Oryzias latipes: one gene and its partners. The protein of the gene in region 2 purifies or fractionates together with the protein of the main gene of each other region. This does not show direct contact. Links are inferred from orthologs where the notes say so. Each region holds a gene or a part of one and is shown on either strand. Other genes may lie near its edges.

Region 1 (5,294 bases), on a different chromosome or scaffold from region 2:
ATTTACCTGAAGTTGGGTAGAGAATAAAAGGGAATACTCCCAGACATACAAATCTATATGATATTGCCTGATCTGGTAGCCACACACTTTCTCTAAGCAACTAAAATCTGAGTTTGTTAACATCCAAACACTTCCAAACAAGTGAATTTGATATTTCCCACTAGGTAAAAAAAAAGAGAGAGAGAGAAAGAAAATAAAGTATATTTAGTTCACAATTTTTTAAAAACACCTGCTGTTTTCCAGCACACAAACATACTATTTTTTTAAAGGCCTATATCATACTTTTAAACCTTTCAGAATAATCTATATCCATATAAATGAAAATATATTACCATTGGCAAAGCATAATTTTTTTCTTTAAATAAAATGCCAGTTTTTGCAGTTCATTTTCCAAGCCGGAAGTAAGAAAACTATCCCTGGCGCTGGGTGTGTGGGTGCTGGCTGACCATTTCATGACATCAACCTAGACATGGCCTCAGCAGTATGTCTCCGTTTCATGAAAACGAACATTATCCGAACTTTTTCAAAGATGGATCTGCATGTTGTGTAGAGCTGCACGATATGAGGAAAACTTGCGATATGCGATATTAATGATCAGTATTGGGATAACGATAAAACTTGCGGTATGTGAACAAATAGCAAAAACTACCAAAAACATCATTCCCCTTTCATTGCAACAGTTTAAAAATTATACTCTTATTGACCCTCGTCGACATAGGAGACAAACATCTAAGATAAAAGGGGTCCATCTGATTGGTCAAATGCATAAATGGATTTATTTGATTCATTAAATACTTTAAACTGCCATAAGACTTTTTTAGCACATTTAAGGTAACTATTTTATTGCAATTTTCGCAGTCTTTTGCAAAATGCATATTGCACAGCTTGATGTCACGATAAACTTGCGATATATTGTGCAGGTCTAATGTTGTGCATATAAAATGAACGCGTTTTTGCCGATCATTGATAGCTCTGCAGAGAAAGAGTCTGTGTGTGTGTTTGTGTGGGTGAGTGTGTGTGTTAGCTTGGGGGCGGTGCTAGCAGGGTAGAGGCTGTTCCTCACGTTGTTACGTCACAATGTTAGAACCCACTTGTTTTTGTGGACTAAGAGGGACTGGTGCTCAGAGAACTGGGTTTTTAAAGGAATGCTTAGATATGCATGAATGGAGAAAAATAATAATTTGGGATTTCTTTTCAAGAGGAATTAACACTATAATACACCTAAAAGCTAAAGAAAACCCTGAATTTTACATGATATCGGCCGTCTAAAATCACATGTTTTAGTAATATGATTGCTTGTAATAGTTTGTGTTCTTAATAACCTATACTTAATAGATCAATGGGTATCATGATGAGAAAATGCCCCAACAGAAATTAGTCTTCATGGTTGTACTTCACTGATTTTTTTGGAATAAATTCAGGACCATTTTTTTCAATGAAAAATAATGACATTTTTGCAAGATTTGGCAACCAAAGCATGCCAACCTGGTTCAGGTAATCAGAGTTTTAACATCCTTTTGTCTACAGTCTGATTTTGTCAACATACCTTTGAAGAAGGAGTTATGTAGCTTCTAACCATGTGCAATGTTAGTGAAATCAAATTTTATCATATTAGCTAAACCCATTTTTGAGAAAGGAAAGTGCACAGATGGTGTAAAAATATTTTCCTCCTAGTTTGTTGAACCTTTTATCTAAACTTTGTCTTGTGCACACTTCATTGAGTAATTTTTCTACTTTGTACTATCTGCAACTCTTGTTTTATATATATATATATATATATATATATATATATATATATATATATATATATATATATATAAATAAATAAACAGGCTAGCAGAAAGGTCTGCAGAAAATATAGCAAAGACATGTGTTGAGTCTTACTGCCCATTGCGTAGTTAATAATACACATGTCCCCTTGATTAATCTGATACAAATCAATTCCGCCTGCGGGAAACATGGTTAGAAACGCAACTTCAAGAAAACAATTCCCAGTTAATGCTCAGCAGCTATTACTTTAAAGTTTAGACTTGACATATTATACACAGAGCAGTTTGGGCCTTCCACATGACGACTTGTTCTAGCATCTTACGACTGGCAACGGCTTAATGAACCACAATCCACGAAACTAGTTTTAGTAACGACCCCAAAACGGTGCAGACGAACACTTTAATCCCACACCACCATGTCAAATAAATGCGTTCTCCCGACGAAGGCCAAGGTTGTCACGTTGTATTTAGCTAACAAGCTAGCGGACTGTCAGCAAAGTACATGCACACCACCTGTATAAACGCGGTTAGCTTGCTAAGAGCTAATGACCTCGAATATATTTTTGCCCCAACTTTAAGCAACTCGGAAAAACAATAATTAATGCAGACAAAAGTGTTGAACAAGTTTACTACGACTCTTCACATCGTTTTCACAAGTTTTTGGTTGCAAAGCGAGTTATTAAAATGAGGCTTAAAGGACGAAGGCCTTTAGAATTACTGACAGTTGGGGCCATGTGAAAACACGCAGCAATTTTCTGACATTTCACTCGCAGAAAATGTCATGACAATCGTAAGATTTCACGTCGAAGAGTCGATGTTATTGTTAATTGTATCGAGTACGCTTTCTAATTATCAAATTAAATAAAATTATGGCTTAATAATAGGAGCAACGGAGGAGAACCACTGCCTCATATATGAATGGAGCATATGGCCTATTGGCTAACGCTGCCATTCTGGATGTTTGAGACTTCGGGGGGTATTAACAAGCACTTTTCACGACCAACACATTTACTGAGTAGGATAACATTCAAACAAACCAAGATTATACACCTAAAGGCATAACATTTTTGTGAAAATAAACTATTGAAGACTGACGCACAAACAACTCTTTTTGGTAAACCTGCAAGCGAAAGTGACGCTGCGTTTGCTCCTTGCTAGCTAACATTAGCCAAATAGCTTTTAGCTACCTGGTTACTGTGAGAAGCCATGCTCCCAGTGAGAATGTTCTCCTCCGCAAGACGAAAACTCCTCTAGGAAGGCGTTATGGGGTTGTAATGACAATTACAAGAGGTCCTCTACTCCATCGTAATTGTCAGCTCTCCAAACGGTTCTTGGCATTCAAACATTTCGATCCATGAAGCGGCCAAGAAATTCATGCTGCTCAGCTTGCCGTCGCCGCCATTTCTGCGAAGCATTCCCCTCGTTTGCTAACCATTGCACAGCCGCGCGGTCCGTGGAAAGCATGAGTGAGACGAGTAACCACAAATACTTCCGGTGAGTTTTGGCCTAACAACTTCAAAATAAAGGCCTCCTCGTATTATTATCATTATTATTAATAATATATTGTTGTTGTTGCGCTTTAAACAGTTCCCATTAGTTTATTTCTTATGTTCATGAAACTGAAATATAACAATTTAAAAATCATACAAACAATAAATTACAGACAAACTTGTATCGGTTCTTGGATGTCCTCTAGAATTAGACTGCTATTAACCCTTCAAAGTGTGAATTTGTATTTATGTATTTGCATAGTGCTTTTCCCATCCCTTGGGTGCTCCCATCAGGGCTCACCACAGCAGATCAGTTGCCACAATCCAACTCTAGCTTCTGTACCCATTCACTCCTCTTGGATTTCGTCCCAGTTGTAACCACAGCCTCCATCTGCCAATTTATTAAGTGTCCCTTCTTTGAATATGTAATCTAAACAGTAAAATGTTGTGTTCAAGTATAGCTTTGATCGTCTTTGGCTTCTAACTTTCTAAATTGGTTTTGATTTTCAGTAATTAGTGAGGAATGCTTGCTTTTTTCTCTCTCCATGTTTGAACTACTCTAACATTGTTAACACTGCTTTAATACTTACATTTGGTCGAAACTTAGTTGTCGAAGTAAAAGACACCCTCAGACAAGAGTTTACAGGCATATTTTGATATGTTTGTATTAGCCTCTTTTCAAGGAATTTGGGGAAAATGAACTACATCTAGTGTCTCCCCACAGATAGAGTTTCTAAGCCTCATTTAAAGACATAGCCACTTTTATTTACTGCGTTTTGATTTCCTCTGAGAGTCACCTATTTATTTATTTTTTTTCATACCGTGTTTATTGATAAATTTTACATTAAAAAACATTTATTTTTGGTGTCTAAACCCTTTGATTACTTTGTCTTTTTTGTTTCTTAAAATAGCTTTATTGCTATGCTATCCCTGCATTATTTTTTTTCTGTGCATCAATTTGGTGACTGATGTCTTTTTCCAGTTACTTCAGTAAAACCAATTGAGTATAAACACGACCTCCAGTTAACAACCACATTTATAATACACAAGAAGCAAAAAACATCAGCCAGAGATTTAATTAATGGAATTTTATTAAAGGTATTGACCTACCTTTAGATTAAAACCAAAATATCTTGTAAACCTGCAGCCGATATAAGTAACCAGTGGGTTTGCTGAGCAAAGGAGATGGACACATTTTTACTTGTCATTAAAAATACTTGATTGGATTGGTTCAAAGACTTCACAATAAAAGTGGTAAAGTTGATTATTAGAGGAAACCTTTATGCAATATATACAAGACACATGTTAATAAAACTAACATGTCATCAAGCAGTATATATTTCTTTGTTGCTGCCCAGTGAGTTTTCTTACATTTTTTTGTGAAGTTAACTTTTATTGTTCACTTAAAAAAGTACAAATAAATACAAAAATATACACGATTAACACTTGTAAAAACTGTACTTTGTCAGAAAACCTTTTTTAAAGTATCTAACTTAATTCAGTCAATACTAATTATAAAATTTTAAGTTGAAGTCAAATAAGATTACAGGTTCTTCTAAATTTCAGAAATGAATGAATGAAAACTTTATTAATCCCAACAAGGAGAAACTCAGTTCCAGTACATCTCGATGAAGAAGGTCAGATGTTATGTTACATTTAAGCAGTACCATTGTATACTTCTAACCAATATACATTGTGTTTGGATTTAAATTCCAATAGCAGCTGGTAAAAGTTCTTAGTTGTATGACTTAAACTCAATGTATTTCTTTTCTTTTTAACTTATTATAAATACTTTAGTTGATCTTTACATCTAAAGATGTCTCTTTTTTTACTAACAAGCTGCCATCAAAGTAGAACTACTGACTGTAAAAGAGAGCAAGACGTGTTATATCTTTTATTGGTTGAACTTTTTTTAAAGAAAAAAATGTCCTGTAGGAATTGAGTTTGCTTATGTTAGTTTCACTCTAATTAAATCGTGTAATTAATTTTATTATGAAAACCGGAAATGCTTGGAAGTGTCTGGGGTTGGCAGATT
Region 2 (5,091 bases):
CCCCCATTTGCAAAACCATAGAGCATTTTGTTCAGATAATTCTTTATCTGAGTGCACCTTGTAAGGAACATTCAAATCAATTCACCTAAGAGGAAATTAAAAGGGGGGAAAATGAATGATAAAAAACAGCTATTTTGATCAGGGAGAATTGAAAAAAAAAAATAAGGTACCACAGCGGACAAATTATAGGAAACATATTAATACACAAAAGGACTTGGCTTTATTTAAAAAGACAGTGAGTATTAAATGACACAAAAAACATATCCATGTAAAACACATCTACATTGGCCTATAAACATTATTGGTTGTGCATTTCAAAGTTTTACGGTATAAACTGATTTGACATTAGTTTAAAATCTTTTTTGCTTGTAAATTCTAAAAAAAACAACAACATTTTAACCATTGGAGCAATCTTTTTACCCATCAGTGTCATTACCCCTCGTCTTCAGATCTACGTTGCTCCAGTTGTGAAGAGATTTTTCTATCTCTTTGTTGCCTGTATTGTTAGGTTTCTCCTCATTTGTTCAATTTTCAGCAGAGACTCATTGTAAAGCGCAGCACTCTGTTAAACACCAACAAAGACAACAGTTTACACCATAACCCTTGTGCTATCCTAGGCACTTAAACATTGGGAGTTGGGTCATCTAGACCCACTAGACAGTGCTCTGAACCTTTTCTCTTCAATGATTTGTGATCTTCACTGGTGTCCATGGATTACATGAAATCTTTCCACCTTTATCCACCTTTGTCATGGTAGGGAGAACACGTCAAAGTATGGGGTCATCTAAGATAGCACAAGGGATAAACTAATATCAAGAAAAAGTCTTATTTTCATTCTAAGACATTAAATACCCAGAATCTTCCAAAAATGTGTTTGTTCTTAGTCTTTAACAGCAGATTATTATCAAAGGTATAAGTTTTTACAATGAAAAAAGTCAATGTTTTAACACTTTTTTGTGGAATTGAACAAATTGCATGAGTCAATGAAGGTTATGTGGTCTCCGACAGGAGCACCTGCAGGTCTATGTTTGGTGCTTTTGGTTGAATGTATATAGTGCATAAATTATGGATTAACTTTCTTGTTTCAGCACAGTTTAACTGGTTGATTATTGAACTGGAGCTTTGTCTCCAAACAGCCTGCATGCTATCTGTGTCAACAGAGAAATGTTTGCCTCCCTGCATGCATGCATTTGCTCTCTGAGGGCTGATTTCTGTGTCATCAGAAAGAAAGCTGTGAGAAAGCTGATATGCATCCCTTATTTTTATGGTTTTTGCAAAGTCATCATGGCACTGCTAATCTGTGATTTAAAAAAAATGGGCAACAACCTGAAATGTCTCTCCTTTCTGTCGAGACTCAGGTAAAAGGAAAACATAAATTGTAATAATGTGCATTTTTTGTTTATTATCTGCTATTTTAATATGCCACTAATACAGGTTGCCTCTATACCTACAATAAATACATGAACCTGTAACAAATATATTTAATTCTAAAGGCAAATTAAAAAAAAAATATTTGCCTGTAAAGAAGAAGCTTTACATGAAGACAGGGTTAAAATATTTATTTTAAAAGAACTTTTAACATTAACTTGAAAATAGTAACAGCAACTTCAAATGATTTGTTCAATGAAGAAAATAAAAAGTTGAATCAGAACTAGGATTTCAAATATATATAAGAATCCAACATTGCAATGAGACCCCTTAGTTTATTCTACATTAGTCAAAACATTGTCCTCCAGGACGGGGATTTTAAATAAAACGTTTAATTAAATAATACTACTGAGGCTCGAATAAACTGAATTTACATATTTGACTTTTTCTTTATCTTTATTTCTTTGTTTTAAACAATTAAATATACCATTTTGAAGTAAAACTGTTTCATTTAATCCTTAAATACTCTACAAATTCAAATTGATCATTATCGTGGTCTTTTAAAGAAACTATCATAACGAGGTGGTGATAAAGTTGCAATTTCCGATCATTGTGTGTAGCGTTAAGGCATCATTCACCCGTGAATTCGACGAATCAGAGGAGTCGGAGAAGCCCCCCACCCCTCCCACCAAGCGAAGCCGAGCCGCCGCTGGAGAGACAGCGGAGTTGGTCCCGTCTCTGCCCCTTAGCGAGCAAATCCCGCTGAAAGGCCGCTGCGGGAAGATGGCGACGGACAAACAGAAGCACGAAGGAAGAGTTAAAATAGGACATTACATTCTTGGAGACACCCTCGGAGTGGGGACGTTTGGAAAGGTTAAAGGTACGTGTGGAAGCGTTGGCCTCGGCACATCTCAGCGAATGAAAGATGGAGCCTACAGGCGCTTTTAGCTTAGCGCCTACTTTAGCCTGCTTGGACGCTAACTTGTCACCACCAGGAAGCTAATCATAAATGTTATAATGCTGCTAGTCTAGCTTTTGGAATAATTAACTAATGCCACCTGATGTGCGCAACTTATCAACATTTTCAAACTTGTTTTTTTCTTTAAATAAAAAAAGATAATAATAAATCAGTTAGCATCGGTTTAAGCTAGCCAAAGAGCCACAAGTCGGTGTCAAGATATATACCGGGAGTCAAGCTCGTCAGCCCCTAACTCGGGATACGGTTATGTTTAGGATGTTGCCCTGTCTTCATCACCCCTCCCCTTTTTTGATTTTCGGATTGGCGATAAACGCAGAGTTTGCAATTTCACCTTTCCCCTGGCTGTGCGGCGTTTCTTAACACGCTTTTTCATTTCAGAGGCGGCCGGGCTTTTTTATGGGTGAAAGGGAAGTAAACGGGGGCAGAATTCACGCCCAGTTTTGTATTTTGGCAATAACGAGGCATGCAAGCACTAATTTCATAATAAAGCACATCTAAATGATTTACTCCGTGCAGTTATTGTTTGTATTTACTTTAAAGTATAATCCAACCGTGTTTTAAAAACGTATAAAGATCAGTTATTTGTTAAAAAATGAAGAACCACCCACTCTGTATGCAGTCGGTGTGTGTGTGATCTACACTTTATTTTCTGTGTCTTTTGGTCTATTTATTTGTTGTTGTTGTTGTTGTCCTCTATGTAGTTTTGACAGTGGAGTGTTCTTTGTGTGGATCACAGAGTAGTTTAATTGAAAAATATGTTTTTTTATTGCCATTTGCTAAGGTTTTTGGTAAAAATATGGACAAACGTTTGTCACAAGCCAGTGAGGTTGCCAAATTTAAATTCAGTTATATGTATGATTTTTAGGTGTGAAATGCGGATTATTTTTCAAACTGTTGTTCCTAAACAACTGTTTTTTGGATTTTAAGAAAAAAAAACATTTTTCCTTAACCGGGTATTCAAACTGATCAAACAGGAGTTTTCATTGAAAAGAACAAATTCTAGCCCCCCCCCCCCCCCCCCCCCCAACACCACACTAGCCCTTATTTAAACTAGAAACATTTTTGACCAACTGAACCATTTGATGCTGAGAAAAATAATCCAATCAATAAATAATATTAAATGTAAATTGATGTGAAACATTAACACAGTAGCACCAATATATTTAACGTTTTTAGTTTAAAGAAATACGTAAAAAAAAGTGCTGATTTTTTTTCTAAATGATCGATTATTTATTTATGATCTCAAAGAGTGCAGCTGTTTTCCTGCATTACCTGCTGTCTTTGTCAAATACTGACACCGACTAAACCACAGGCAGACGCAAAGAATACATTTATGGAAAATAAAGACACGGCATCAAAATGTCTACAATAGTTCATAAAGAATGACATTAGTAGCCTGAGCTGAGGAATCTAAAGGCATGTGATGATCCTGGTGTTGTTCAGCGTGTGCTGTTCCACCTCGCAGCCTGAGCCCACTACCCCTCCCCTCTCCTTCTCACACACGTGTGTGACAGGAGACGGGAGCAGCTGCAGGGACGGCGGTTCACAGGTTTCAGGCTGTTACAAACTCTGTGATAGAACAGATAATAGGAAACCAATAGTGGCGCAGATTTTTTCCCAAGCATTGAGCCGTTGTCACCACCACGCCCCGGGCATTTGCCCGTATTACCTGTGCCTAAAACCGCCACTACTGCGCGCCCCCCCTGGCATCGCATCGCCCCACTATTTGAGAAGCACTGCTTTAAACCAACATGGTTTCAGTAAATAGACATTGGTTAACCTTTATTTAAAACATATCTGGAAACTAAAAAAAAACGTTGTGAGAATTCCACAAAGATGCCTTTTTAGGGAGTTGTTAAGAGTGTGTCTAACTATGAGGGGGCATATGGGAAGACCTAGGACATTCTGGAAAGATTAGATCTCCCAGCTGTATCCTGGAAGAGGTAGCTGGGAAAAGAGAGGTCTGGGGTTCCTCGCTAAAACTACTGCTTCCGCAGCTCGAATCCTGGATGCCAGAAGATAGTTGTTGGATGAGTGGACACGTTTTTTGACGTGCTTGTATTTTAAAAGGTGAAATGATATCCCTTTGAGCCAGATTTGTGTTTCTCGATGGGACAACTTAAAAAGCAAAAACTGTTCTCCAACTCCCAGTAGTAGTTGCAGTATTTTCTTTGTGCTGCTTTAATGTCTTTGTTGTGCGGAAATATTTTTTTCTGATTGAATCTATCCACACGATCAAAGTTTTCATTTATTTCTATTATCTGAACGGGTTTACGTTAATAGCATAATTTCAGTAAATTCAGACTAAAGGTCAACTGCAGAGTTGGACGTGTTTGGCCCACATAGCCATGAAATGAGCTTGTTTTGATTTCCCACTTGAACTTTGAAAGACTTTAAAAAAAAAACTGTTCAGCTTCCTGCAGACTTGCTTCTCTCACCGTTTGGGGAAATTTCAATCAATCTATGAATTGGCATCAACAGTGACACATGCAAAAAAGGTCCCGTCTGGTAATCAATGAATGGATGCAGCTTCCGTTAGGAATGTTGGAACTTTAACAAATATTTGCGAAAACAGCTTATTTAAATAGAAGATTTTGTTTTTAAAGTTACTTTTTAATACTATGTTTGATAATATTTTGAATAAGTAATTCCTAATAACTGTGGCTTGTATTTTCCATGTAACTATTCTTAAAAATCCAGGATATTTATGACCTGTCATCTGTTTGTCCTGCAGTGGGCCAACA
Region 3 (5,092 bases), on a different chromosome or scaffold from region 2:
TGGATGATAGGAGTGATGCCATGAGATGTATCGAGATAGCTGAGCCCAGGTAAAAATCCATCTGTTCTGGCGGCTTCTAGTTCCAGAAGAATGTCTCCCAGTTCTCTCAACCTTTGATTTTCTCTGTTGGTAATTTTTGGAAAATCCTCAACTTTTCTGAGAAGGGCATTTTCTATAGCTTCAGGTGATCCGTAGCAGTCCTCCAACCTTTGCCACACCATATTCACACCTGCTGCTGCATTGTGAATATGAACTGCTCTGATTCTCTTTGCACGTTCAGATGATTTTGGTCCAAGCCATTTACACAATAAATCCAGCTCTTCTCTGGGTGTTAAATTTAGATTTTCTACAGAGCTACAGAAGGATGTTTTCCAGGCCCAGTAATTCTCTGGTTGGTCATCGTAGTTTAATAGCCCTGAGCTTACAATTTCCCGGCGTACCAAGTACTTGGCCAGATCTGTCATAGCCGCTGGACTGGACTCTGCGGCATTGGTAGCAGCAGCTGGAGGAGACTGGGAAGCTTGGTTGACATGGCTGGATGGTGTTGGATGGTGAGACTGATTCCAGTAGTAAAATGTTCCTCTGGGTGGAGGTGGATCATGTCTGTGTTCAAACTCAAACTGAGTGTTTTCATACTGAGTTTTTTCGGATGGGTTTCGATGTTGGGGGTAACTTGGAGGAGTGTCCTGTTTGAATGCATGTTGAGCAGGTAGTACGTGAAACTCGTGAACATTACTCTTACTTGACTGTGCGTCGGCGTTCCCTTTGCAGCTTTTAACCATTTTTTGATGGTGTTTCTGCATTTCTGGGGTTTCTTGCAGCTTTGAGTCATGGTGAGAGTGCTCAGAGTTTAGATTCTTTGTAACGTCATGGTCAATGGATTTACTGTGTAAGCTCATACATTCTAGGTCCCCAAATTCATTCTCTGCAGCTGATTCCAAGACTTCAGCTTCTGCTATGGCGGCTGCAGCAGCACTTTCTAGTCGCAACTTGTGAAGATTTGCTTGGAGCTCCGCTTTCTTTCGTGCAGCCTCAGCTGCAGCCTTTTGTTGCTCCTCTTCAATATATGCTTGTGCTTTAATCATGTCGGCTTCTCGTTGAGCAAATGATGCTTGTGTGCGTGCAGCCTCCGCCTTTGCGCGTGCTCTGGCTGCTATAGCACTGGTTGAGGACAAGCGGCTGGTGCGTGAAGAGTTGGAGCATTGTGATCTTATTTCAAAGTCTTCGATATCTTTATCCATCAGGATGGCTGCTTTACTTGCAGAATAATATTGTATGTTTCAAAGTAGATCTCTTCTGGAGAAACCCGTCAGGTGGATGTCTTTTCACTATTCTGCCCTCACTGGAACTTTAGCGTGATTTCTACCTTGGCAGACAGCTAACAGGTTCCTCAATAAACACCCAGGAGTCATAAATGTCCATTATGTTAAAAATTCACTAATAAGGGAATACTACTGAAGTAATCATTTAATAGTACTAGCCAAATTTCATATTCATAAGTGCACATTTCGGGAGGGGGCACTATTCCAACTTTTTATGATTGAGTTAAACCAAAAACCAAAAAACCAAAACAATACATTCCTCTTCTAACCCCAAAGCTTTAAGAACTTGACACCTTGTATTTTTTTAGATGCAGAGAATAACAACTCACTGCTTTTCCTGCTTCTGTTTATTCAGGGTTTTTTTTTCAATCTATGTTTCCCTGGCACATTTTGTTACTCAGTTTTCTATCTGTATATTTTAAAATGTTCTCATTTTTGTATTAATGAGTCTGTAAGTTTTCAAAAAAGATTATTTAAAAAAAACTATTGCCAACGCTGTTGTTATTTCCCCTCCAAACCGGTAGATGGCAGTGTGAGATTACAGTGATTGCGGTGTCATGCAATCACAGAAAGAAAGTGACCTAGAGTGGAGGAGTGGTGGTAGCAATGCTTGCCTTGTGTATTCATTTATTTTCAAACTGCTCTCAGTCTTTTTGGCGCAAATGTACCAATAAAATCGTCTCAACGGAACTGTCTGAAGGTGAGGCTTGTTTATGACGTAAGCGTGCTTCTCGTTATAACACGCAAACAGAGGAAAATAACGTTAGCATCGTCGTCTGTTAGCCAAAGGCTTCCTTTAACTTTTCTAATGTGTCCAAGAATCTCAATGAATTTGTGCATAAATCATATGAACGCATGAAAACATTTCAAATTAAATGTCTAATTTTTTGGGAATAGTTAATTTATTTCAAATATAAATATTTCTAAATAGAGAATTTTAATCACTTTTAAGGAAGTACTTGTGTACTGTATTGTTTACCAACCAAATCAAATGAGCTTAATTGAGCCAAAAAACACGAGTCTCCACTTCTTGATGTTTTGCTTGATGCTTTTTTTCTGTTCCTCTTTAAAACATTAACATAGTGATCAAATGAAATATTTTTAGAAGCACCCAAATTAACTGTTTTAAAAAGAAACAAAGTTTTAGTACTCATTGTAGTTTTGTCTAGAAAATAATACATTTGAGCAGTTTTGCAGCAGTAAACCTGCATCACAATTTATTGGATGATCAGACTCTTGTTGAAGTGCAGATGTCACTGTGTTGCCTTGATTATATTTTGCTCTCATTACACTGCACTAATAACTCAAACTGTTTTACTTGACAGGGGCATTAATTTGAAGTGTGACAGTCTACGATGCATCCAGTTTGGAAGAGAGTGTTTCATCGTCTCCACAGAGCCCTTCTTATTTCAAAGAGGCATCAATCAGGTTATGCTGAGCACACACCCACCTGTACTTCTACAAAGACAACATCCAGGAAGCCGAGGCTCCTGGTTTCTCGTCTTTACCAGCCTTCGAACCTTCGGGATGTTGGCCAAGACAGCCGGCTGTCGGGAGAAATGACATGCAAGAGCCAGAGGCTCATGCATCAGGCCGGCCTCATTCATCCATTCAGTCCGGGGTGTTACGTCTACCTTCCTGCCACTGTCAGATCAATGGAGAAGCTGGTGAGTTTTTATCTTAAACAAAAGAAAAAACAAAAGCACAAAAATGACTAAATACCAGTTTGACTTTTTATTCAAAATGTTATCATGACATGGAAAAATACTACATTTTGCTACTACTTTTGGTTCTGTAACTGTTGCTTTCAATCAACAGATGAGAGTAATAGACCAGGAGATGCAGGGGATTGGAGGGCAGAAGCTGGACATGCCCAGTCTGTGCTCAGCAGATCTCTGGAGAACTAGTGAACGATGGGATTTGATGGGAAAGGAGCTGTTCCGTCTAAAAGACCGGCATGGTGCAGACTATTGCCTGGGTCCCACTCACGAGGAGGCCGTGACCACTCTTGTTGCTCACCAGGCAACGCTCTCATACAGACAGCTACCTCTGCTACTGTACCAAGTAGGTTTTTTGCTATAGTTACTATCACTTTTTCTGTTATAAGCTGCCCTTTTACTTTGTGATTTCTCTCATCCAAAACCAGATAACCCGCAAGTTCAGGGATGAGCCAAAACCAAAGTTTGGTCTTCTCAGAGGCCGAGAGTTTTACATGAAAGACATGTATTCATTTGATGTGAGTGAAGAAGCTGCTCAACAGACGTATGGATCTGTCTGTCAGGCGTACATCCAGCTTTTCACGCGTTTGGGCCTGCGCTGCGTTCAGGTACAGGCGGATACAGGCAACATCGGCGGTACCCTTTCCCATGAGTTTCAGTTACCAACAGACGTAGGAGAGGACCGACTTTTACTCTGTGGGAACTGCTCCTTTTCAGCTAATGTGGAGACTTTGTCATCAGGCACAACCCACTGTCCACAGTGCAAAACTGGAGCTCTGGTAGAGTCAAAGGGAATAGAAGTTGGGCACACGTTTTATCTGGGAAAGAAGTACTCCAGTGTATTCAAAGCCACCTTTAGCAACCCCCAAAACAAACCCTCCGTCACTGAAATGGGTTGCTATGGCCTTGGAGTGAGCCGCATTCTCGCTGCAGCCATTGAAGTGTTGTCCACAGACGAGGGAATCCGCTGGCCCGGTCTCATTGCTCCTTACCAGATCTGCGTTTTACCCCCCAAGAAAGGCAGTAAGGTCGAAGGGGCAGCAGTCTTAGCAGAGGAACTGGTGGACAGTTTGGGTGAAGACTTTCCTCACCTGAGGGGTGAGATTGTTCTTGATGACCGCACACAGATGACCATTGGAAAGAGGCTGAAGGACGCCAGCAGACTGGGCTACCCATATGTGATTGTGGTGGGGGAAGCAGCTCTACAGAATCCCCCCACCTTTGAGGTGATCTGTCAGCAGACTGCTGAGACGCTATTTCTGAGTAAAGACGGACTCCTGGATCTGCTCGGAAAAGTAGAAACTGTATAATAAACAGCTTTTGTTGTAAGAGTGTATAAATGTTTGACATGTGAGGTGATGGAATAAAAAACTGTAAAGCTTTTGATATCAAACTGGAGAAAACTTGTCCTTGGTTTTCAGTCTTTTATTTTATCAATGTTATAATGGAGTCTTAACGGGAATAAAGCATGTACCAGTACCAGTGTATGAATGAGAGAATTATGATGAAAACATTTTAAAGAGATCAAAATAAGTGTCATAATTCACAATTTCAAATCAATAAGTAAATTGATGTTGAACAAGGTTATGACAAAAATAGTCTTTGCTTAAGCTTTAGGTACACCACCACACTTAGTCTTAATCTGTTCTTTAGGTTGTTTGTTTTTTTACTTCAGTAAATAGTTTACTCTTTCCTTGAAGTCAATAGACTACTCCTATGCCAGTAGTTCTGTTGACCTACAGGGTTTTTATGAGCATGCTTGTAGGCAGAGAAATAAAAGAAAAGGCAACGATGAAGGACGTATAGCAGGAGCTTTGAATACAGTGACTTACAGGAAAACTAAAGTTGTCCAACACAATGGGAAGAAGGAAAGGTGGATTTCCTGGGTGTGCCAGATGGAGCAGAGCAGGGAGTTTGTAGTCAGCCGACTGTAGCACCTGGGTCACTGCCACAAGCTTTTTCCAGCAGCATTTTTCTCATCTGCAACTGATTCACAGCAATTTGAATAAATAAATACTCTGAAGTGCAAGTTTAAATTAAATGTACTTTATA

What was found. The genes of interacting proteins can lie anywhere in the genome.
Region 1: the proteins of prkaa1 (region 2) and usp10 purify together in Homo sapiens (affinity purification with western blotting; 3 studies listed by BioGRID). This does not show direct contact. The link is inferred for Oryzias latipes from reciprocal best matches to the Homo sapiens genes PRKAA1 and USP10.
Region 3: the proteins of prkaa1 (region 2) and pars2 purify together in Homo sapiens (affinity purification with mass spectrometry; 3 studies listed by BioGRID and IntAct, with this or other methods). This does not show direct contact. The link is inferred for Oryzias latipes from reciprocal best matches to the Homo sapiens genes PRKAA1 and PARS2.

The regions. Positions count from the first base shown.
Region 1 is NC_019861.2:21,052,448-21,057,741, forward strand, and holds the start of usp10 (ubiquitin carboxyl-terminal hydrolase 10), read right to left. Parts: upstream 3,219-5,294; 5' UTR 2,978-3,218; coding exon 2,957-2,977; intron 1-2,956. UniProt on the Homo sapiens protein: Hydrolase that can remove conjugated ubiquitin from target proteins such as p53/TP53, RPS2/us5, RPS3/us3, RPS10/eS10, BECN1, SNX3 and CFTR.
Region 2 is NC_019870.2:7,421,572-7,426,662, forward strand, and holds the start of prkaa1 (5'-AMP-activated protein kinase catalytic subunit alpha-1), read left to right. Parts: upstream 1-2,037; 5' UTR 2,038-2,151; coding exon 2,152-2,248; intron 2,249-5,081; coding exon 5,082-5,091. UniProt on the Homo sapiens protein: Catalytic subunit of AMP-activated protein kinase (AMPK), an energy sensor protein kinase that plays a key role in regulating cellular energy metabolism.
Region 3 is NC_019862.2:15,593,517-15,598,608, forward strand, and holds pars2 (probable proline--tRNA ligase, mitochondrial), read left to right. Parts: upstream 1-1,874; 5' UTR 1,875-2,022; intron 2,023-2,647; 5' UTR 2,648-2,677; coding exon 2,678-2,989; intron 2,990-3,140; coding exon 3,141-3,386; intron 3,387-3,468; coding exon 3,469-4,350; 3' UTR 4,351-4,433; downstream 4,434-5,092. UniProt on the Homo sapiens protein: Mitochondrial aminoacyl-tRNA synthetase that catalyzes the specific attachment of the proline amino acid (aa) to the homologous transfer RNA (tRNA), further participating in protein synthesis.